3 linked regions of the Anolis sagrei genome follow. The protein of the gene in region 1 purifies or fractionates together with the protein of each later gene. This does not show direct contact. Links are inferred from orthologs where the notes say so. Each region holds a gene or a part of one and is shown in the gene's direction. Other genes may lie near its edges. The genes, in order: KCNQ1, AKAP9 and NEDD4L.

Evidence for each region.
Region 2: the proteins of KCNQ1 (region 1) and AKAP9 purify together in Homo sapiens (affinity purification with western blotting; 3 studies listed by BioGRID and IntAct, with this or other methods). This does not show direct contact. The link is inferred for Anolis sagrei from reciprocal best matches to the Homo sapiens genes KCNQ1 and AKAP9.
Region 3: the proteins of KCNQ1 (region 1) and NEDD4L purify together in Homo sapiens (affinity purification with western blotting, with the first as the bait; 3 studies listed by BioGRID). This does not show direct contact. The link is inferred for Anolis sagrei from reciprocal best matches to the Homo sapiens genes KCNQ1 and NEDD4L.

What each region holds. Positions count from the first base shown.
Region 1 is NC_090021.1:245,562,469-245,569,386, forward strand, and holds the start of KCNQ1 (potassium voltage-gated channel subfamily KQT member 1), read left to right. Parts: upstream 1-3,829; 5' UTR 3,830-3,884; coding exon 3,885-4,315; intron 4,316-6,918. UniProt on the Homo sapiens protein: Pore-forming subunit of the voltage-gated potassium (Kv) channel involved in the regulation of cardiomyocyte excitability and important in normal development and functions of myocardium, inner ear, stomach and colon.
Region 2 is NC_090026.1:102,885,826-102,893,673, reverse strand, and holds the start of AKAP9 (A-kinase anchor protein 9), read left to right. Parts: upstream 1-4,832; 5' UTR 4,833-4,949; intron 4,950-5,055; 5' UTR 5,056-5,060; coding exon 5,061-5,108; intron 5,109-7,848. UniProt on the Homo sapiens protein: Scaffolding protein that assembles several protein kinases and phosphatases on the centrosome and Golgi apparatus. Required to maintain the integrity of the Golgi apparatus. Required for microtubule nucleation at the cis-side of the Golgi apparatus.
Region 3 is NC_090022.1:282,591,697-282,598,741, reverse strand, and holds the start of NEDD4L (E3 ubiquitin-protein ligase NEDD4-like), read left to right. Parts: upstream 1-4,042; 5' UTR 4,043-4,230; coding exon 4,231-5,400; intron 5,401-7,045. UniProt on the Homo sapiens protein: E3 ubiquitin-protein ligase that mediates the polyubiquitination of lysine and cysteine residues on target proteins and is thereby implicated in the regulation of various signaling pathways including autophagy, innate immunity or DNA repair.

The sequences.
Region 1 (6,918 bases):
ATTCACCCATGCAGAATGGGTCTTCTTCTTCCTATGCAGCTGATGTCAGGTAAAATAAGTTGGAGTGTGTGTTTGGGGGAGAGACACATTCAATTTGTCTGTTCTGCACAGTTTTTAAACAATCCCTGATCAATAGTGTCACAGTCATGACTAAAGAGTGATTGTAAATACGAAACAGTTATCTAGATTTACTCATCTGTAACAGTTCCTTCTCCACCATCAATTTCACTGGAGCAGCCATGTTGTCTAAATGCCTGTTTCCCAAAGCAGTTACCAAGTAAAATTTAAAACTGAATTGTTTCAGTTTTTTTGGTTATATCAATAATAATGCAAGTTTTATTTCTCCTCAATCATACATAGATACAGCTACTTTGACTGCAATCTTGTATCAGCTCCTCAATAAAGTTTACTTAACTAAGTAACCTTTCCTGGCATGACGACCATTCCAAACCATGGAACTACTGTATTTATGGATTGAAAGTATTAAAATGAATTTCCAGAAAGCAACCCTTGATTTTGCCATTTTATATAAGTGTATATAATGGGACCTTAATATTCACTGATTTTGTTATCCAGGTGTATGTTCAGCAGGTGGGGAGATGGAGGCTGGAACCAAACTCCAACAGGTACCAAGGCCCCCTCTACTTTAAATGGTAACTAAATAATGGAAATAATATACACTTTTCTAGTATATATTATCATACTTCAAATCATGTCATAATGTGCAATGTGTTGTGGCTGAGTATGATTGTCTTCCAGAGAGAGAGCCTTGACAGTGACTGTGAAGACCTATTCTGGATCCACGTGGTATTTCACAATGAGGACACAGATGTTCAGATAGAAGGTGATCATGAGAAGGATTTGCTTGACACTTCTCTTCTTTTTGTCCTGTATTGAGGGCCAGGGTTTCCCAATTCTCTGTGTTTATACCACATTTAGTTTAGCTTTAAGCTGATCTTTACATCTCTTTTGCTGTCCACCAACATTCTGTTTTCCATTCTTAAGTTGAGAATAACGTAATTGCTTTGGGAGATGGTGATCAGACATACCAAGGGCCTAAAAGGTAATGGTAAATGTTTCCCCTGACATTAAGTCTAGTCATGTCTGACTCTGGGGGGTGGTGCTCATCTCTATTTCTAAGCCAAAGAGCCAGCGTTGTCCATAGACACCTCCAAGGTCATGTGGCCAGCATGACAGCATGGAGCACTATTACCTTCTCACCGGAGAGGTACCTATTGATCTACTCACATTTGCATGTTTTTGAACTGCTAGGTTGGCAGAAGCTGGGCCTAACAGCAGGAGCTCACCCTGCTCCCCGGATTTGAACCACCAACCTTTTTGTCAGCAAGTTCAGTGGCTCAGCGGTTTAACATGCTGTGCCTCGGGGGAGGGGGGGCACCAAGGGCCTGGTGTACTTTAAAAGAGATCTTATATACACCAGAAAATGATGGCTAAATAATGGAAACAGAAATAATATATATATTTCTCTTACATATTGGACCACAAATCGTGTAGTACTATACACCCTATTTACTCAAATCTAATGCTCACCTTTTTTGTCTAAATGACCTTGTCAAAGTTAGGGTGTGCATGAGATTCGCATCATACTGTAATCTTAGTGCTATTCCTGCTTCTTGGCAGGGGGTTGGACTGGATGGCCCATGAGGTCTCTTCCAACTCTTTGATTCTATGATTCTATGCTGAGCCAAAGCCAAAGGGGAAGCTGCTTCACTATTTGAAATTTATATCTCAAATTTAATGGCCAGACTCAGACTCAATGTTTTGCCATCCTGGGATTTGTAGTTTGGCGAGGCACCTGCATTCTTTGGCAGAGAAGGCTCAAGACTTGAAAAACTTCACGCCCACCCCATGACTCCATGGCATTGAACCAAGATAATTAAAGTGCATTCATCCTGCAGCAGAGAATGTAGCATCCCAAGGTTTCCTTTCCATTGCTGGAAGTTTTGGTGTTCTAAAGGAGAATTCTAAGTAGGCACCAACTGTAAGGGGCAAATGACAAAGAGAGCACTTTTTGCTGCTGCACATGACCTTTGGCAGCAAATAATCCCCCCCCCCCCTTTTTTTATTTCAGGGTTTTGAAAATGGAAGTGTGCATTAGATCTGATGGTGCATTAGACTTGAGTAAATATGGTATAAGTTCACAACTTTTTTTTTGACAAGGGACCATTGACCAGGGACGACTCTGCAACATTAGTATCAACAGGGTTACGAATCAATCTTTGGTCAATTTTAGATTTGGTTTGGTTATTTGGGGTGCTGATTCAGAAAACTGCATTGGATAGGCTACATGAGCTCTAGTTTCTGATACAGAACATAGGCCATCCAGTAGTCACCATCTGCTCGCCCACAGAAAACCATAGTGAATAATCTAGAGCTGATGTGGTAGTAGTAATCTTTTGTGGGCAGTCAGCCTCTCCCCTCCCAAATTCCCATTGCCTTGACATTATAAGAGGGTTTCGCAAGACCAGTTGCTCTTGTTGCTGCAGGGTTTTGAGGCAACGGTGTAGTAATGGTGAAGCCAGAGACCATATTTTCGTTCTTGGTGGTCCACGGACCACAGGTTGGGAACTACTGGTATAAGATATATAGTATTTGGAATTGTTGCATTTATACAAAAGTTTTTCAAATATGATGTTTCAATGTCAGTTGTGTCAGCAGAAATGAATTCATGGTCACTATTGAGGACTTCCAATTCATTTATCCTATCAGGAGAGAACCAAGATTACAGAGGTAATGTATTTAAAAAACACAAAGGTTAAAAACTTGTCATGATACTAAATGTCCTTTGACCAATAGTGGGCCCCTTGGAGTGCCTCTGGTATTCCTATAAGAAGGTCCTCCGTTGTGCATGTGGCAGGGCTCAGGCTGCATTGAAATAGGTGGCCTGTGCTCCAGTAGCCTGCCAGGGTCCGGGGGCAGCAAGGGAGAGTCGCAATAACACCAAGAAGGCCACAGCAGCCTTCAGAGCACCTGCTGTCTGTGAACTTGCTGCCCGGTTGTGCCAAGCACCAGAGCCTTGTCAGGGAAAGAAGGAAGGAAGGAGGGAGGGAGGGAGGGAGAAGGAAAGGAGGAAGAAAGGAAAGAAAGGAAAGAAAGGAAAGAAAGGAAAGAAAGAAAGAAAGAAAGAAAGAGGGAGGGAGGGAGGAAGAAGGAAAGGAGAAAGAAAGGAAAGAAAGGAAAGAAAGAAAGAAAGAGGGAGGGAGGGAGGAAGAAGGAAAGGAGGAAGAAAGGAAAGAAAGAAAGAAAGAAAGAAAGAAAGAGGGAGAGAGAGAGAGAGAAAGAAAGAAGGAAGGAAGGAAGGAGTGAGGGAGAAGTAAAGGAGGAACAAAGGAAAGAAAGAAAGAAAGAAAGAAAGAGGGAGGGAGGGAGAAAGAAGGAAGGAAGGAAGGAAAGAGGGAGGGAGGGAGAAGGAAGGAAAGAAAGAAAGAAAGAAAGGAAAGAAGGAAGGAAGGAAGAGGGAAGGAGGGAGGAAGAAGAGAGGGGGGAGGAAAAAGGAAAGAGGGAGGGAGGGAGGAAGAGAGAAAGAAAGAAAGAAGGAAGGAGAAAGGAAGGAAGGAAGGAAGGAAAGGAGGGGAAGGGAAGGGAGAGGAGAAAGAAAAGAAAAGAAAAGAAAAGAAAAGAAAAGGAGGGCCGGTCTCCTTCCTCGGCAGTCCGCGCCGGGGCTCCTTGGGTGGCGACGGGCAGGAGGCATCGGGGCGGAGAGCGGGGCCCTTCCTTCCCCGGGGAGCCTCCCTCCCTCCCTCCCTCCCTCCCCTTGAGTGGGCCGGGCCAAGAAGGGCTCTCGGGCGGGCGGACGGGCAGGCAGGCGGCGAGAAAGGCCAGAGCGAAGGAGAGCAGCGCTGCCCCCGCCTGGCCTGGCCGCGATGCCTGCTTCCCCGCCGCCTTCGCCTTCTCCTTCCCCTTCCCCCGCGAAGGCGGAGCGGCGCCGCTGGACCCTGGAGCGCTTCTCGGTCCTCTCCAAGAAAGGCAGCCTCAAGCCCTCGGCGCTGGAGCTGGCCGAGAACGCCCCCGACGCCCGCTACGCGCCTTTCTCGCTCTCGGCGCCCGGCCCCCCGGCCCCGCGCAGCCCGCCAGGCGGAGGAGGAGGAGGAGGAGGATCAGGCGAAGAGGAGGCGGTGGCGGCGCGGGTGGTGATGAGCGCCGACTTCCCGCGCCCCTCGGTCAACCTGGACCCGCGCGTCTCCATCTACAGCGCCCGGCGCCCGCTCCTCAGCCGCAGCCACATCCAAGGACGGGTCTACAACTTCCTCGAGAGACCCACCGGGTGGAAGTGCTTCGTCTACCACTTCACCGTGTGAGTCAGCGGGGGGGGGGGGGGGGGGAAGGGGAAAGGGGGAGGGGAGCCCTTCGGAGTTAGAGTAGGACGAGAGGAGGGGAGGGGAAGGAAAGGCAGCGGGCACCATCTCTCGCAGGAGTGGGCTCCCTCCCACCCAGGGCGCTTTGCATCCTGCCCGGGATGCTGGGGGCTGCAGTCCGCTTCCCACGAGCCCGGCCCCGGCAAGCAGGCGGCTCTTCCTCCTCCTCCTCCTCCTCCCTTCCCCACACGAAGCAACCCGCCTCGGCTCTTCGGGTTGTCCTGCGCAACCTCGCACACCTTCTCTCCATCGCATGACAGCTCAAAGTTGCTGCTTTGGTGCACTTCTAAAACACGTCTAACTTGGTACTTTGTTGTGCCACGCGCATCCAACGCAAGGCCAAGGACCGAGCATCATTGGTATTTGGTCCACGAGGCTTCCAAGAAGAGGTCAACATAGTTCCATGTGTACAGTCTTGCAGTTGCAAGCAACCCTTTGAAGGCAACCGTAAGGCAGTTGTGGCCTTTGGTGAAAAGACCTTTGACACCCTTGATTTATTCTACTATCACCACTCCCTCCCCTTCAATAAAATTACTAGAGAGAGACACACACAAAGACAGAGAGGATAAATGCAGTTTGACAGGACTTGGACTGCCAGGAACCCAATGCTGTGGAATCATTTTACAAGGTCTGGAGCAGGCACGGGCAAACTTCGGCCCTCCTGGTGTTTTAGGCTTCAACTCCCACAATTCCTAACAGCTGGTAAGCTGGCTGGGATTTCTGGGAGGTGAAGTCCAAAACACCTGGAGGACCAAAGTTTTCCCATGCTTGTTCTGGAGTCTTCTCCACCAAAAAGCGCCAGAGCCTTCTCAACTTGCAACACCCAGGTTTCCATAGCACTGGGCCATGGCATTTAAAGTGGTTTTGAACTTCCTTCGTGGTACAGTCTATATGCACCCCAGGCGTCGCTAGAGTTTGCTTGGTTTAAACCCTAAGTCTCCCTGAGTCCCTATAAGATAGGGTATAGGTAAAGGTAAAAGTTTCCTCCTGACATTTAAGTCCAGTTGTGTCTTAATCTGGGGGGTGGTGCTCATCTCCATTTCTAAGCTGAAGAGCCAGCATTGTCCGTAGACACCTCCAAGGTTATGTGGCCAACATGACTGCATGGAATACCATTACTTTCCTACCAGAGTGATTGCTATTGATCTACTCACATTTGCATGTTTTTGAAATGTAGGTTGGCAGGAGCTGGGGCTAAAAATAGGAGCTCACTCCGCTCCCCAGATTCAAACTACCAACCTTTCAGTCAGCAAGTTCAGCAGCTCAGTGGTTTAACCTACTGCACTACTGGGGTATAGGTAATGCCACCAAATTAACAAGCAAACGGATAACTGCAATAGGCATGCTCATACTTGGGAGTCATTTCCGTTAGGTTCAGTGGAGGATGCAGCCAGCCCTCCGCATCCACAGATTCTGCATTCACAGATTAAACCATACATTTCTTTAAAATTCCCAAAAGCAAATGTTGATTTTGCCATTTTGTGCAGGGACACCCTCTTACTGTGCCATTGTACATAATGGGACTTGAGCATCCACAGATTTTGTTATCCATGGAACCAAACCCCAGTAGATACCAAGGGTTCACTAAACTTCTAGGAAAGAGTTTGTAGCATTTATTTGTTTGTTTAAGATATTTCTCCCTCTGCCTTTCTCTGCGGCTGGACCCAAAGCGGTTAAAAAGATAAAGGTTTCCCCTTGACATTAAGTCTAGTTGTGTCCAGCTCTGGGGGGTAATGCTCATCTCCATTTCTAAGTTGAAGAGGCAGCATTGTCCGTAGGCATCTCCTAGGTCATGTGGCCAGCATGACTGCAAGAAGTGCCATTACCTTCTCGCCAGAGTGGTGCCTATTGATCTACTCACGTTTGCATGTTTTCAAACTGCTAGGTCGGCAGAAGCTGGGCTTAACAGTGGAAGCTCACCATGCTCCCTGAATTCGAATCGCTGACCTTTTGATCAGCAAGGTAATCAGATCAGCAGTTTAACATGCTGCACCAAACCAAAGTGGTTTACAACATATGAAACACACAATATCAACAATAAAACATACAATAAACAAATTAAAACATACTTAAAATATACTGCAGGCGACGTATGTAACAATTCATTGTAAGATCCTCAGATGTGTTTGTCACACAGAAGTCTGTTTTCCCCTTTTTAGCTTGTGATGCCTGTCTTACAGAATATGCGTTTTTAGTAATCCCATCAGTATAAGACCTTGGGTGGAGGAACAGCTCTGTTGGGTAGCAGCTCTAGGTGTGTTTCCAGACAGGCCCCCTTGAACCATGTACCTGTTATGCCCAATGGAAAGTTCCGCTGTGGATTGCTCAGTGCTGAAGGTCTTGGAAAAGCTTTTTTTTTTTTTTTACTGCAACTCCCAGAAGACTTTTGGGGGGAAGTTGCAATCCAAAAAAGTAACATTCTTAAGGTCTGGATCTATTTGATGAGTTGCGCACATACTTCTTTGTGTGTGTTCCATTCATTCGTAATGTGATTAGGGAAGCAATACATTGTGTGCCAAGAACTTTTTATGCTGGCTGGAGC
Region 2 (7,848 bases), on another chromosome or scaffold:
ACAGCTTCCTTTAGAATAATGTGATGTGGTTCATGGACAAAGTCTTCTCTGAATATTTCACACATAAAGAGTCAAATCTATTTACATGTGCAGTTCGCATGCTATAGCCATGTCTTCTTAATTTGCTGAGCACAGGAATGCTAAATGTGTTGATGAATGCACTTAGCTTGCAAAATTATAATTTATCAAGTTATTACGATGTTTTCTTTTTCTGTTTTAGAAATAATATTAAATGGAATTGGAAAAAAAGAATGAATCACCTAGTAAATAGTTTTATACATGGGGCATGTGTGGAACACTTGCATGGTGAAATAAGTTCCCCATGACTGATATGGTATTACATTCGTTTTGGCCGCCATAAGTTTCATCTTAGAGAAAACTTAACATCCACAGTCAATACTTTATAGTGCCTGTCAGCACTTTTTGCTTATTTCCCACCCACTTTTCCTGTCATTCATGGAGAGCTCTTTCAGTCCTAATGCATAATTTACAAAATCGCCTTCCTTATTCATTCTTTTTCTATCCTCTTTGCTCTTTGTCCATTCTGTTTCTTCTGTCTAGCGTTCCCTGAATGACCTACATTTCAAAGTCTGCATACTCTAGCCTGTTCTTTATCTCCCATGCTTCTTTATCTTCCTGCTCCTTAGCCTTTCTGCCTTCAGACCCTCTTTATCCTCTTTTTTTCGGATCCAAACAGCAACGTAATATTTTTATTTATTTTATTCATTATTTACTTTGTTTTATCTTGCCTTTTTCCCAATATAGGGACTCAAGTCAGGGCTTGGAACTTCTTGATTAGCAGAGACAATGATATATTTTAATTTTTCTCGTAATTCCTTCTAAGCTGAGCTGCTATCTTCCAAATGGCTAGAGCAAAAGAGCTTCTCCAACAACATATTGTCAGGTCCTTATGCTTTAATTTAGTGTGTTGATATGTACACAAGGGGCCACGGTGGTGCAGTGGGTTAAACCACTAAGCTGCAAAACTTGCTGATCAGAAGGTCAGTGGTCTGAATCCGTGAAAAGGGTGAGCTTCCGTTGTTAGCACCAACTTCTGCCAAACGAACAGTTTGAAAACATGCAAATGTGAGTAGATCAATAGGTACTGCTTCGGTGGGAAGGTAACGGCGCTCCATGCAGTCATGCTGGCCACATGACCTAGGAGGTGTCTATGGACAACACTGGCTCTTTGGCTGAGAAATGGAGATGAGTACAACCCCCCAGAGTCGGATACGACTGGACTTAATGTCAAGGAGAAACCTTTACTTTTACATGTACTCAAATATGCATACATATATCATAGAGGTGTGGAAAGCAATGGACACAACTGTATGAATTTTGGACCCCCTGGCAATGGGCATTTTGATCATCATGTGATGGAGGTTTATTTATTTATTTATTTACAACATTTATATGCCGCCCTTCTCACCCCGAAGGGGACTCAGAGCGGCTTACAAGGTATATATTACATACAATATTATATTATTAGCATAGTACAATATCAGCATTAAACATAGCTATATTGCACCATACTACTATAACATAATATTATTAGTAATATTACACATATTAATATATAATTATAATATCATATTGTTATTATATTGAATTACATTATAATATTATAAATATTATATGTATATACAATATATTATATTATATTATATTATATTATATTATATTATATTATATTATATTATATTATATTATTAGGATAGCACTGCACTTCTAGACATAGGCCTCTAGGCAAACTTTTCAATTCCCTTTCAGAATCTCATTTTCTGAGCAAACAAAATAATCAGAAATATTTCACAGCCAATAAATGTGAATTGTAAGTGTAAAATTAAATCTTGCTCCTCTGAAAATGGGACAGTTTTGAAAACTTAAAATAACAGCAAAAGTGTATTATTCTGTTTTAGATATTGATTTTACTTTATTTATCTGTGTGCAAGAGGGATATTCTCCTCCAAGTAAACAGATAGTAACCAAAGGAGATATTCTCCTCCAAGTAAACAGATAGTAACCAATAGTAACCAATTTTATAAAGGGGATATAGATTGCTCCTTCAATTAAAACAGAAAGTGTTTCTATAAATGATTCAAACAAAGGTTCTTGTGCAATCATTTAAAATTCATTCTAATGACAGTAATTCAATCCCATTAATTTAACAGGCTAATCTTCTGCAAAATTAAGCACACTTAGTCACTGAATTAATTGGCTTCATAAGATCAGGTTGTGATTCACACAAACCGTGGGTTTTATTTATCGATTGAACAAATTAATTAAGGACCTTTACTTATAGACCATCTTTCAGGGCCTCAATAGATTGGTATTACTAGGAAAATAGTTTTGCAGAACGGCAAACATAACTTTTCATTTGAAAAGTGATTCAAAATCATGAGCAACAAATAACTTGGTATTATTATTGCCACATCCTCATAACAACAAGCGGCCTTGTAGCTCTTTGAAAACTAAAACAATTATTATGGTACAGATTTTAATGAAAAAAGATGCCCTATAGTTCACCAAATGTTGTGCCATTAACATTGGTATTTATAGAGCCACAATAATCTTTGTTTGTTTTGTTCTAAGAGAATAAGATGGCCAGTGTTCTAGAAAATGTCACAGTTCACAGACGAAGGAACTTGACTGCGATGAACAGTCTGAAGCCACATTATCCTATTGCAAGTTTTGCAAGTCCTTGAGTACATCACAGTGTAGAATTAATGCAGTTTAATACCACTTTAACTGCCATGGCTCAATGCTGAGCCACGGCAGCAGTGTGTGCAAGTCATGTCAGAGTGCATTAATTCTACAATGTAGTGCGAACTTTGGCAAAACCTCAATTTCCAGGATGTTACCCTTGGTAACACCTTTATATGCTTTTATGGTTTTAACTTGAATTGTTTTAAATACCAATGACATTTAATACTGCTTTAATGCCTTATATTGTATATTTTAAATTGTATTGTGATACTTTTAATTGTGAGGTGGTCCCAGTGGTGATCGGCACATTGGGTGCAGTGCCTAAAGACCTTGGCCTGCACTTAAACACAACTGGCGCTGACAAAATTACCATCTGCCAGCTGCAAAAGGCCACCTTACTGGGATCTGCATGCATTACTCGCCGATACATCACACAGTCCTAGACACTTGGGAAATGTCCGACGTGTGATTCAATATAACAACCAGCAAAGTTATCTTGTTTGCTGTGGACTCGTCTTGTTGTGTTTCTAATAATAATAATAATAATAATATACAACTCCAGCTCCCTTGGTAAAACTAGAACTCTTGTGGCAGTTAAAAGAGTATCAAAGTGCATTCACTCTACAGTGCAGCGGCACCCTTAGTAAAACTATAACTCCTAGGATGGTAAAACTTTGTAAAACTATGGAACAGTACCAAATTAGAACTCTCGTGGAAGTTAAAGGGGTGTCAAAGGGCATTCACTCTACAGTGTAGAAGCCCTCTTAGTAAAACTACAACTCTCATGTTATCCTTGGAAAAAACTATAACTCCCAGGTGAAGCCACAGCTCTCTTGGTAAAAAGATGCAATAGTACCAAACTTGAACTCTCTTGGCCGTTACAGGGATGGCAAAGTGCATGGATTCTACAGTGTAGAGGCACCCTTAGTAAAACTACAACTCCCAGGATGTTATCCTTGGCAAAAACTACAACTCCCAGGCAAAGTCACAGCTCCTTTGATAAAACAATACCAAACAAGAACTCTCATGGAAGTTAAAGGAGTGTCAAAAGTCTACAGTGTAGAAGTGCTCTTAGTAAAACTACGACTCCCATGTTATCCTTGGAAAAAACTACAACTTCCAAGTAAAGCCACAGCTTTCTTGGTAAAACTAAGGAACAGTACTAAACTAGAACTCTTGTGGGAGTTAAAGGGGTGTCAAAGTGCATTCACTCGACAGTGTAGAGGCACCCTTAGTAAAACTACAACTCCCAGGATGTTATCCTTGGCAAAAACTACAACTCCCAGGCAAAGTCACAGCTTTCTTGGTAAAACTAAGGAACAGTACTAAACAAGAACTCTCATGGAAGTTAAAGGAGTGTCAAAGGGCATTCACTCTACAGTGTAGAAGCGCACTTAGTAAAACTACAACTCCCATGTTATCCTTGGGGGGGAAAACTATAACTCCCAGGAAAAGTCACAGCTCCTTTGATAAAACAGTCTCATGGAAGTTAAAGGAGTGTCAAAGGGCATTCGCTCTACAGTGTAGAAGCGGTCTTAGTAAAATTACAACTCCCATGTTATCCTTGGGGGAAAAAACTATAACTCCCAGGTAAAGCCACAGCTCTCTTGGTAAAACGATGGAAGAATACTAAATTAGAACTCTCTTGGCAGTTACAGGGGTGTCGAAGTGCATGCATTCTAGTGAAGAGGCGCCCTTAGTAAAACTACAGCTCCCAGGATGTTATCCTTGGCCAAACTACAACTTCTAAGTAAAGCTACTGCTCTCATGGTAAAACTATGGAACAGTACCAAACTAGAACTCTCTTGACAGTAACAGGGGTGTCAAAATACAGTGCAGAAGCGTCCTTAGTAAAACTACAACTCCCATTACACCACAACACTGAGCCATGGCGGTGTTAAAGCGGTGTCAAACTGCGTGACACCGAAAATAAACCCAAGGTTAAAGAAAAGCCACCCTGGGGGTCTGCCAAGGGACGCGAAGCTCTTTAAGGCGGTGCTATGGCAACGGCTGTCCCCGTTGCCGCGCTCCCTCCCGCCGCTCGGAGGAACAGCCTCCCTTCAGGTGGGCAGCGAACGGGAGGCGTTTGGGGGCGGGGCTGGGCCCGTGACGTCACTTTCCCCGGCCGCGTGTTTACGTGGAGGCGAAGATGGCGGCGCCGGTGGGTCCGCCACAGAGCTTGCTCTTCTCCTCGTAGCCGGGCAGAGCTGGCCTCTCTCGCGTGTGACTGCGGGGGGAGACGGGTAAAGAAAAGACGCTCGTTTTGGGGCCCTCAGGGCCACTTCCTCCCTTTACGGCTTTGGTCATAATCATAATAAACACTGTGGTCTCTCTCTTTTCCCGCCTCAGGGACCATGGAGGACGAGGAGAGGCAGAAGAAGCTGGAGGCTGGCAAGGCCAAGGTAAGGACTGGAGGCGGAGGAGAGGAAGGCCTGAAGCGACTTTGGAGGATCAGTACAGTTTGACAGAGCTTTAACTGTCATGACCCAGTGTTGTGGAAGGATGTCAGGCAGGCATGGGCAAACTTGGGCCCTCCAGGTGTTTTGGACTTCAACTCCCACCATTCCTAACAGCCTCAGGCCCTTTCCTTTTCCCCCTCAGCCGCTTAAGCGGCTTAAGCGGCTGAGGGGGGAAAGGAAGGGGCCTGAGGCTGTTAGGAATGGTGGGAGTTGAAGTCCAAAACACCTGGAGGGCCCAAGTTTGCCCATGCCTGATATTGCAAAATTATAACACCACATTTCTCTAGTATGGTAACATGGCAATTGAAGTGTTAAACTGCATTATTTCTCCAGTGCAGATGCATCCTCGATACCTAGGAAGAGAGGAGAGGGTCAAGGTTACCGGTCCATGTAATATAATGATTGCATTCTGACACCAGTTTAACTCAGTGCTGTGGGAATTTGGAAGTTGTAGTTCGATCGTAGAATTATAGAGTTGGAAGAGATCTCATGGGCCATCTCGTCCAACCCCCTGCCAAGAAGCAGTAAAATTAATTCAAAGCACCTCCAACAGATGGAATCATAGAGTTGGAAGAGACCTCATCCCGTCCAACCTCCTTCCAAGAAGCAGGAAAATTCATTCAAAAACACCTCCAACAGATAGAATCATAGAGTTGGAAGAGACCTCATCCCGTCCAACCTCCTTCCAAGAAGCAGTAAAATTCATTCCAAACACCTCCAAAAGATAGAATCATAGAGTTGGAAGAGACCTCATCCCGTCCAACCTCCTTCCAAGAAGCAGTAAAATTCATTCAAAATACCTCCAAAAGATAGAATCATAGAGTTGGAAGAGACCCCATCCAGTCCAACCCCCTGCCAAGAAGCAGGAATATTGCATTTAAAGCACTCCTAACAGATGGCCATCTAGCCTCTGTTTAAAAACCTCCAAAGAAGGAGCATCCACCACACTCCGGGGCAGAGAGTACCACTGCTGAACAGCTCTCACAGTCAGGAAGTTCTTCCTAATGTTCAGATGGAATCTCCTTTCTTGTAGTTTGAAGCCATTGTTCCGCGTCCTAGTCTCCAGGGCAGCAGATAACAAGCTTGCTCCCTCCTCCCTGTGACTTTCTCTCACATATTTATACATGGCTATCATGTCTCCTCTCAGCTTTCTCTTAAGGCTAAACATGCCCAGGTCTTTAAGCCGCTCCGCTCCTCATAGGGCTTGTTCTCCAGACCCTTGATCATTTTAGTCTCCGATCCTTAGCCTTTTCTGTCAAAGGGGGCTGATGCCTCACCAAACTACACATCCTAAAATTCCATAGCATTAAGTTAAACTTCTGTCAAAATGCCTTCATTCTATGGTGTAGATCAGGCATGGGCAAACTTTGGCCCTGCAAGTGTTTTGGACTCCAACTTCCACAATTCCTAACAGTCTACCAGCTGTGGGAGTTAGAGTCCAAAACATCTGGAGGGCTGAAGTTTGTCTATATCTGGTGTAGCTGCATCCATAGCTCTGAGAATTGTTTCACTGCAAAATTGAGTCATGACATTTAAAACATTTATATTGGGTTTTGTAGGAATTTGAGGTTCAGAGTCCCCTCAAATGATCTTAGGTTTGTGACATTATGTATAAGCTTATTCCATACACAACTTGCTTTGATATACCTATGTTGCCAGCTGGAGTTACGATAGTATTGAATTTTCTTCTCCCCACAAGTTGTTTGGGTTTTTTCATTGTCATCTGGGACTGACACCTGTAAAAGAAACCTGTGGTGCGGCATTTTGGTGTTTCTTTTATGACAGGATTGTGACTGGTGTTGAAATTTGTGGACAAAGTGTTGGGTGGTATGACGTTTTGATTGCATTTTTATTTTTGTTTGAGCTGTGACTAAATGTTGTTGAAATTTGTAACAAGACGTCTCATGTGATATGGCATTGTTATTGTATTTTTCTAACTCATCACCCCAAAAATATATCAATATTTGTGAAGGGGGAGTTTTTTCCCCATTGTAGACCTGTGTTATTGTAGGAGGGAGAGAGGCGTGCCTTGGCATCTTTCCCGTGCTGCGCTTTCTTTGTTTGGGGCTCTTTCTTTGTGCGTATATGCTGGAGGTGGTGGTAATGCTAATCGGTATACCGGGGTCCACCTTCTCATGAAAATGAAAAGCTGCAGAACAAGGCGCTTGCTTACTTGCCTGTATGTGTTGTAATGCGATTGGCTCTTGACAGCTGTTGCTGCTGGACAGAGACACAAGTGCATGCCTTGAAAATGCCACAGGTGCCAACTGGTGGCGGTGATTCTTCTTATTGCAGAATCAGACAATCTGATTAAGAGATCTTTAAAAGGCTTCTTGGAGGTGAAAAAGACTTCTTGGAGGTCGCATGTGTGCATAGCTCTCACAGGAATGAATGGTATTAAGAATGTATGAATCTCAGCCTTCTCAGGCATTGGAGCAGAAGTGCAATGCAGTCAGAATAAAACAGCAATGCAGACAGCATAGTTAGAAACACTATAGGCCAAAAGTAACACAATTCTAAGAAATGCAGTGTGAGATTTGCCACCATGCAAGTTCTCCTCCACACAATGGGCTGTCAGGCATGCCTGCGGCACCACCCCCAGCCCTTGTACCACGTGATATAGAAGCAGACTAACATTTGTATATCTGATTCTTGTGATCCACCCCCCTCAGTTAAGGGATAG
Region 3 (7,045 bases), on another chromosome or scaffold:
ATTTGGCACTGCTTTGCCTATTATTTTACAGACAAATCTCTAATACAAAGACAGAAGATATCAACTATCAATTTCAAATAGATAGATAGATATTCAGGTTGCGGGAAGTATGATGATTCTTTGTACCAGGGCTTAAAAGAGACTAGGAGGACAAAACAAGACTCTTAGAAAGTATGAAGGGCTCTTTTGGGGAATGTTTAAACAAAACAGGGTGATCTTAGGAGATGCAATACTTATTATGGGATGTGTGTTGGTGCGGGTGGCTCTTTGAGGTTTGGAGGGAGGCATAGACTGCTACTATTTTGTTTTTCCAGAAAATGTTCACAATGGTAGCAAATGGTTTAAAAACATATCAATCAAATCCGCAAATAGTGAAACCCAAGAAAGTTAAATCAAAAAGTGTGGTGGGCTGACTGTACCTTCATAACAGCAGAAAAAACATGCAGGCCATGGTTTAGAAGTGTAGAGCTTCCCTGCCCATTGCATATAAATTTGCATTGTGAGACAAAATATTGAACAGTTTGTGTCCATAAATCATTTTAAAAAGAATTCTTCTCTTTTGTCTTGTAGGTAAATCCGTCTAACCACAGACTGCTTTTTGAAGTATTTGATGAAAACAGATTGGTAAGTATTCTCTTCTATATTTTGTTGTTGTGTTGTTTCTATGTTTGTTCAATTCAACCCAATCCTGAGGTTTTTTGGAAAGATTTATTCAGAGGAAATCCACAATTTATTTCCTCTTGGGTTGAGAGAATATGACTTTTTCCAGATCACCCCTGGGGTTTCCTTAACTCAACGAGGACTTGAATCCTGGCCTCCCAGAGTCTTAGTCCAAACTACTACATCACACTGGCTTATGTCTGTTTGTTATATTCATGTAAAAAATGAATGTTTCTTTCTGTGGCATATTATAAAGAGTTTTTTTCAATTTTGATTATGAGAAGTTAGTCAATTTTTCCCCAAAAGAAAAAAAAATAAGGAAGCATGAAAATTGTTTAATAAGTAGGCTTGCAAATAGTTCTGAGTTCTTCTTAGAAATGCTGCATGTGAGGTGTTTGGACATTATGGTTCATAGGGTTGTGAGTTTTCTGGGATGTTTGACCATGTTCCAGAAGCATTTTTTCTGGAAGTTTCTCCCAAATCTATGGCAGGCATCCTCAGAGTTTGTGAAGCTTCACAACCTCTGACTTCACAACCTCTGAGAATGCCTGCCATAGAAGTGGGCGAAACATCAGGAGAGAATGCTTCTGGAACATGGCCATACAGCCCAGAAAACTCACGGTAACCCAGTGATTCTGGCCATAAAACCTTTGACAACACATTATTGTTCATCTTTGTGCTCCCAAGATGCAGTTGTAGAAGCCCCCCTCATGTGGCTGCTTGAGACATCCACCTGAGATGGAACCAGTGACAGCCCTCAACTGATTCTCCTGAGTTCCCCATTACTTAGAACAGGGGTTCTCAAACTGTGCTTCTCCAGATGTCATGGACTTCAGTTCCCACAATTCCTAACAGCTGGTAAACTGGCTGAGATTTCTGGGAGCTGAAGTCCAAAACACCTGGAGAAACACTGCTTTAGGGGATAGCTCTGTGTGACACAGATCCCTGTCTTTCACTTGCTAAACTACAATGTGGTAGTGATGTGATCCTGTCATATTCCCAGGACTAAAGTAAAACTGCTAGTTGATTTGTACACAGAATGGAAGCACGTGAATTGCACTGGGCTGACTGCCCACCTCATCCCCCTATGCTCACTGCTGTCATTGAGTGACTGAACATTAGTTGAAGTTTTAAATAGCATATAACTAATAATCATGGAGTTAGAAGAGACCATAAAGGCCATCCAGTCCAACCCCCTGCCAGATAAGAACACACAAAGCACCCCCAAACTTAATCCTATGTCTGCCCAACTTTTGTCACAAATAACTACCAAATTGGAAAGCAAGTGTGGTATTGTGGTTTGAGTGTTGGACTGTGAGACTGTGAGATTGGCATTTGATTCCCTGCTCCGCCATGGAAACCCACCATATGACCTTGTGCGAGTCCTACCTCTCAGCCTTAGAGAAAGCCTTAGAGAAAGGCAAGAGAAAACACTCTGTGAGTAACTTCTGCCAAGAACACTACATGTTAGGATCACTTTAGAGTTGCCATAACTTAGAAATCACTTGAATAAACAGAATAACAAGGTTGGTGCTAGGGTTTGAGTAAGATATACCACAACCTCCCTTCAGGATAGACATTTTTGTATACTACGGTTGCTCTGGGATATCTTTACTGTCTTTCCACTGAATTGAATATTAACGTCTTTGAAAATGAATGAAGCCTTGTGTGGATAAACTGGAGTGTTCATCAAACGTCAACTTATGGTCTGACCCCTCTTTTTTCCAAGCATTGTTTTTCTGTCAAAGTAAGGGTTGCTTGTTCGTATAATATGGAAATAGGCTCCAAAGTCTGAAAACTGTGTTAAAATAATGCTGGAGGAACCTCCAGACTAATACTTACTTATTATTATAATTATTACTGTTTAGCAAATAATAATGGCTCCCCCACCTTCGTATTTTGTTTTGTTGTTTCTTGCCACCTATTAATAATAATAATAATAATAATAATAATAATAATAAACTTTATTTATATATCACTCTATCTCTTCTAAGGGACTCAGGGCGGTTTCCAAATAGCAAAACACCAACATACAGAGTACGCAAAACATAAGCGTAGAATTCTCAAAACAACACAAATACATTAAAAACCAATCCCAAAAACACAATAGGGGTTTGCACTAGCCTTCGACTGTCAGTGCTGTTCCCCTTTCCCCTTTGTAATTAGAGCTGTTTTATTTCTCTGTCTGAAAACAAGTTGCTAGAAAACCGAGGCTGAAATGTCTATGATGTGACTCAGACCCGACACCTGTATAAGATTTCTTTTCCCCTTTAGCTCTATGAAGCTTTCATTTACAAAGGCAGTTGTTGTACTTGCCTCCTGACAGTACTGTTTGGTTTCATTGCCTTGCCTTTAAATTCATTCTTGAAGGAGTGTTTTCAGTTGTACTTCAGCCATACCTCCCCTCCTTATTATTTAAACTACCACACAGAGCAGAGCCGAATTCGGGCATTGTTTAATTTTGGGTTTCAGACTGCCTGTTAGTTCTTCTGATGCTTTTGGCTCCTAATAAAGCAGAGCTCTGTTCCATTCTGGCAACCCAAGCTACTAATATTGCTAAACTTTCTCACTGGAGTTTTGCCAGCGCTGGGCAGCGTTTATGTACGGTGTTTAAGTCAGATCTGTACAGCTCTTCATGCACACCCTGTTCCAGATTTTACTTGCCTTCTCAACCTCTTAAAAACTGGGAAAGAGAGACTGTTGCTTGCTACTGGCTGCTTCTTGAATTGTGCGTGTAAGAGTTTTTTCTCTCTGTTTTTTTTCCTCCCCAAAAAGATCTTACTGTAGCCAAAGTGGGTTATTATAGTCCGTTTATGGTGGCAATATGATATCTGTGTCTTTCACTTCAGGAACGTATTGCTGCTTAAATTGCTTCAGGCATAAAGAGAGAAATATGCGGTTTCTAGCGTTCTCTGATAAGTATTTGCAGTAGTCTGAAGTTTGCAGCCAACTTTAAACAAACAAAATTTCAGTTTCTCTCTCTCTGCCTTTGCCCAGCCATTTTTTCCCTTGGTGATTCCCGATCTGCATGAACATATTAAGTGGATTTATTTTTCACGGAGGGAGGGAGAGGTCTTGTGTGGCTTCCCCCACTTGTCTTTCTTTTTCTTTTGGCTTAGAACAGAAATGTTCCGTGAATATGATGCAGTTTAGATTTATAGCGGAGTCGAGTGTGTTTGCTGCCTTAGTCAGCTGTGAGAGATCTCCCGCTGGGGCCGCTCCTTTTCTGATGGAAAAGGAACAGCTGTGAAGGTGCTGTTTCAGGCTATTGCTGGTATTAAAGTGAAAAAAATAGTTGCTTGCATTGGAGAGGGGGAAATGGGTCATGTGATGCCAGCCATCCTACCCTATGTCACAGTTTGGAGGAGCACCGATTGCTCTTATCCAATCATGCCTGGAATGCTGCTGGCCACTTGGGCTATTTCTGCTGCCTGTCTCTATCGGTGCAGTAGTGCTAACAGTTTGGCAGATGGGACACTTTTTCTTGGAGTTTATGTCTTTAGTTCTTAATTTCTGGCAGTGCCTGGACTCGTCGCTGTCTCCCCCTCCCCTCTCCTTTCTCCTGAAACCATGGCCCATCGGCTGCGGTTTCATTTTGGCTCCGGACGAAGCAACACCGCTCCTGAGTCGGGGATCCTTGACCGTGAGAGAGAAGAGGATGACTTTTTCATGGCATGCCACACTTTGCCCAGAAGGAATGGGCCTCATACTTTCTCAAGGCGAAGGGCTGAGTGTGGAGATAACCACAGGGATTTGCGGGAAGCCGGTTCCTTGAAGAGGAGCACCTCTATGTTTATTCCTCAGCTTCTCAACAGCATAGATGCCCGGCCCACCAGGAGCTCTTCTGTGCAGATTTCACTCCAGCGCAAGGCTGTCAATGGGCATGCTGATGAATGCGAGGGCACGGAATCCCCCCCAGAAGACATGGGGGATTTTTCAGATTTAGGGGAGCATTGCACATCTCTTGATGGAAGCCATTCTTCTTCTAACAGTCAGCAGGTCACCCCAGACAACTCTCCACCCAGGCAAGCGGAGAACCCAGAGTATGAGATTAACGGAGAGCCATCTAATCACAGGATATTTTGTACCATCCCTTCCAATAACTGGACTGACAATGGTGCAGCCACTGGCCAGGACCACGAAGCAAGCAAAACCGGATTAGGCTTAAACATTGGCAGGGTAAGGATTCAGCATCGGGCTTCGAGCGTAGACGTGCCTCATGTTACGCTAATGCCCTTTGACTCAGAGGCGCCAAACAATGCTTCGGCCTCAGAACCCAGGCGCTGGTCTTTGCAACATTTGCCAGAAGGCTCTACCAATTCAGGAAAGAAATTCTTTGTTTTCCAATTGCAGCAGCCCCCGGCAAATAGCACAGGGACAGACTACAATTTTGGTTTCACGGGAACGAAAGGGGATCGGTTGGTTAGGTATCCACGAATACGTCTGGAGAGGAGTACCTCATATCCAGTTCACCCACAGCCAGAACGCATTAGCCCCATGGAGGGTGAAAGTGTGAATTCAACACTTCACGGAAATAGCAGGAATGGCACTGAAAAATCCAGAGGCAATCCAGTGGAGCGGGTTTCTCCAGGGCAAGGATGCATGTTTAAAATCCATCCAGATCAAAACTCAAGGCAGCAGCATTTCAGAATTCTTGTAACTCGTGGGATTAATGAGAAAGGTCAAAGTTCTGGATCAGAGAATTCAACTGGTTCTGCTCCTGTTGCAACCAATTCATCAGTAAGTAAATGTTAACGAAGTGGTAATTTAAGTTTTCACTTAGATTGTTTTGAGTCAGGGGATAAGGGGAATGGAAACTCAGATGCTTCGTGCAGGTCACATAGTTGTGAAATATCATATAGCAATGTTAGAAAGACCTACAATCTTCCAGAACAATCTGAAAGCATCTATGTTTTGTTAGGCTAAAGTAGCTTTCAGTTATGACTACTTCCAGTGCAATGTTTTCAGGTCTTCTGGTGACTCATGAGTTACTTAATTCATTGCTACGTTGTCAAATACAGTTCGGTAGTTATGTGTGTGTATATAATACTCTGCCCATTTTGCCTTATTTCTATGCTTTTAAAAAAAGTCCTATAATCTTTAAAATCTCAAGTGATATATACATTTATGCCAAACATACTATGTATACCTCGTTAAAAGTTAAGGATCAAAAGCTGTTTTTCAAAAATATTAGCGCAGTTTTAGTGTCTTTTTGTTTAATTGCTTATAAATGTGAAAAAGTAGTCATGGAATCCCAAACGTTTTGATTTGTTAATTTCAGTTTTGGTTATACTACTATTTTCGTCATTAGCCTTAACAAATTAGGTATATTTCATATTCTACAAACAATAGGCATAGTTTTTTTTCACAGAAGGATATATAATAAACGAATGCCAAAGTTGTATTTTTTAAAATTGTGCTTTGTTGTTGCTTGAATGCCACTAGTCTCTTACATGTTCCAGCTCCATATGAAAACAAACAAAAGAGATGTTTTTGGCCCGTATCGCTTCCGCCTGTGTAATCATGGCATATATTGCAGTTCGATGCTGGAAGGCAGCATCTAACTGTGGGAAGGCATTGTGATGGTTGCTGCGTAATACAAAAAGACTTTTATTCTACCCAGTTTAACTTATCGATATATACCTATTATATCACTGAGAAGATTATAGATGCCTAGCACCAATTGCATTCCAGATAAGGGAATCAGGTTCATAAAGACATTGTTCTTTTCTTTTAGGCATCATTGTGTCAGTATTGTGTGCTATTTTTCTTTCACTGTTAGTGTAGGAAAAATCACTCTAAAATTTCCAGATTGAGAGGAAACAGAAAAGACATGCATTCCAGCAGACATTTAATTCTGCTGAGTTTTTACTCTCTTTACCACATACATCCCTCTGGTTTTATTTTGGACATATTGAAATGACATTAAATGGTTTGAGGTTATTTTGTTCCCTTAATTTCTGGTATTTGAATTTTTAAAGCTGTAAAGGTTTCTTATTTGAAGAATCTATACGATTTTTTGGGGAGCTGCTTAAGCTGAGATGCAAATCAAAAATGCATATGTGAGTTTTAGCTGCCACTGAAGGGGACTGGAAGAGGCAAAAGATACAGTATGTGCCAAATGGTGTTAACTCTTCTACAAACTGTTCATGTTGGTGCGTGTGTCTTTTATTGAGTACTAAATTCACATTAAGGCAGTGAATGAGCAAGTTCCCCTATGAGCTCTTTTGACACTCTTAAAAATGTGGGGGTTCGGTATATATTTTCTATACTGTCCAAGATGGTTAAATGAATATCTTCCCTCATATTGAGAGCTCAGAGAAAACCTATTATTGGGTTTTTGCATGGCCAAACCCAATAATGGACTCAGTTTAGAATAAGATCA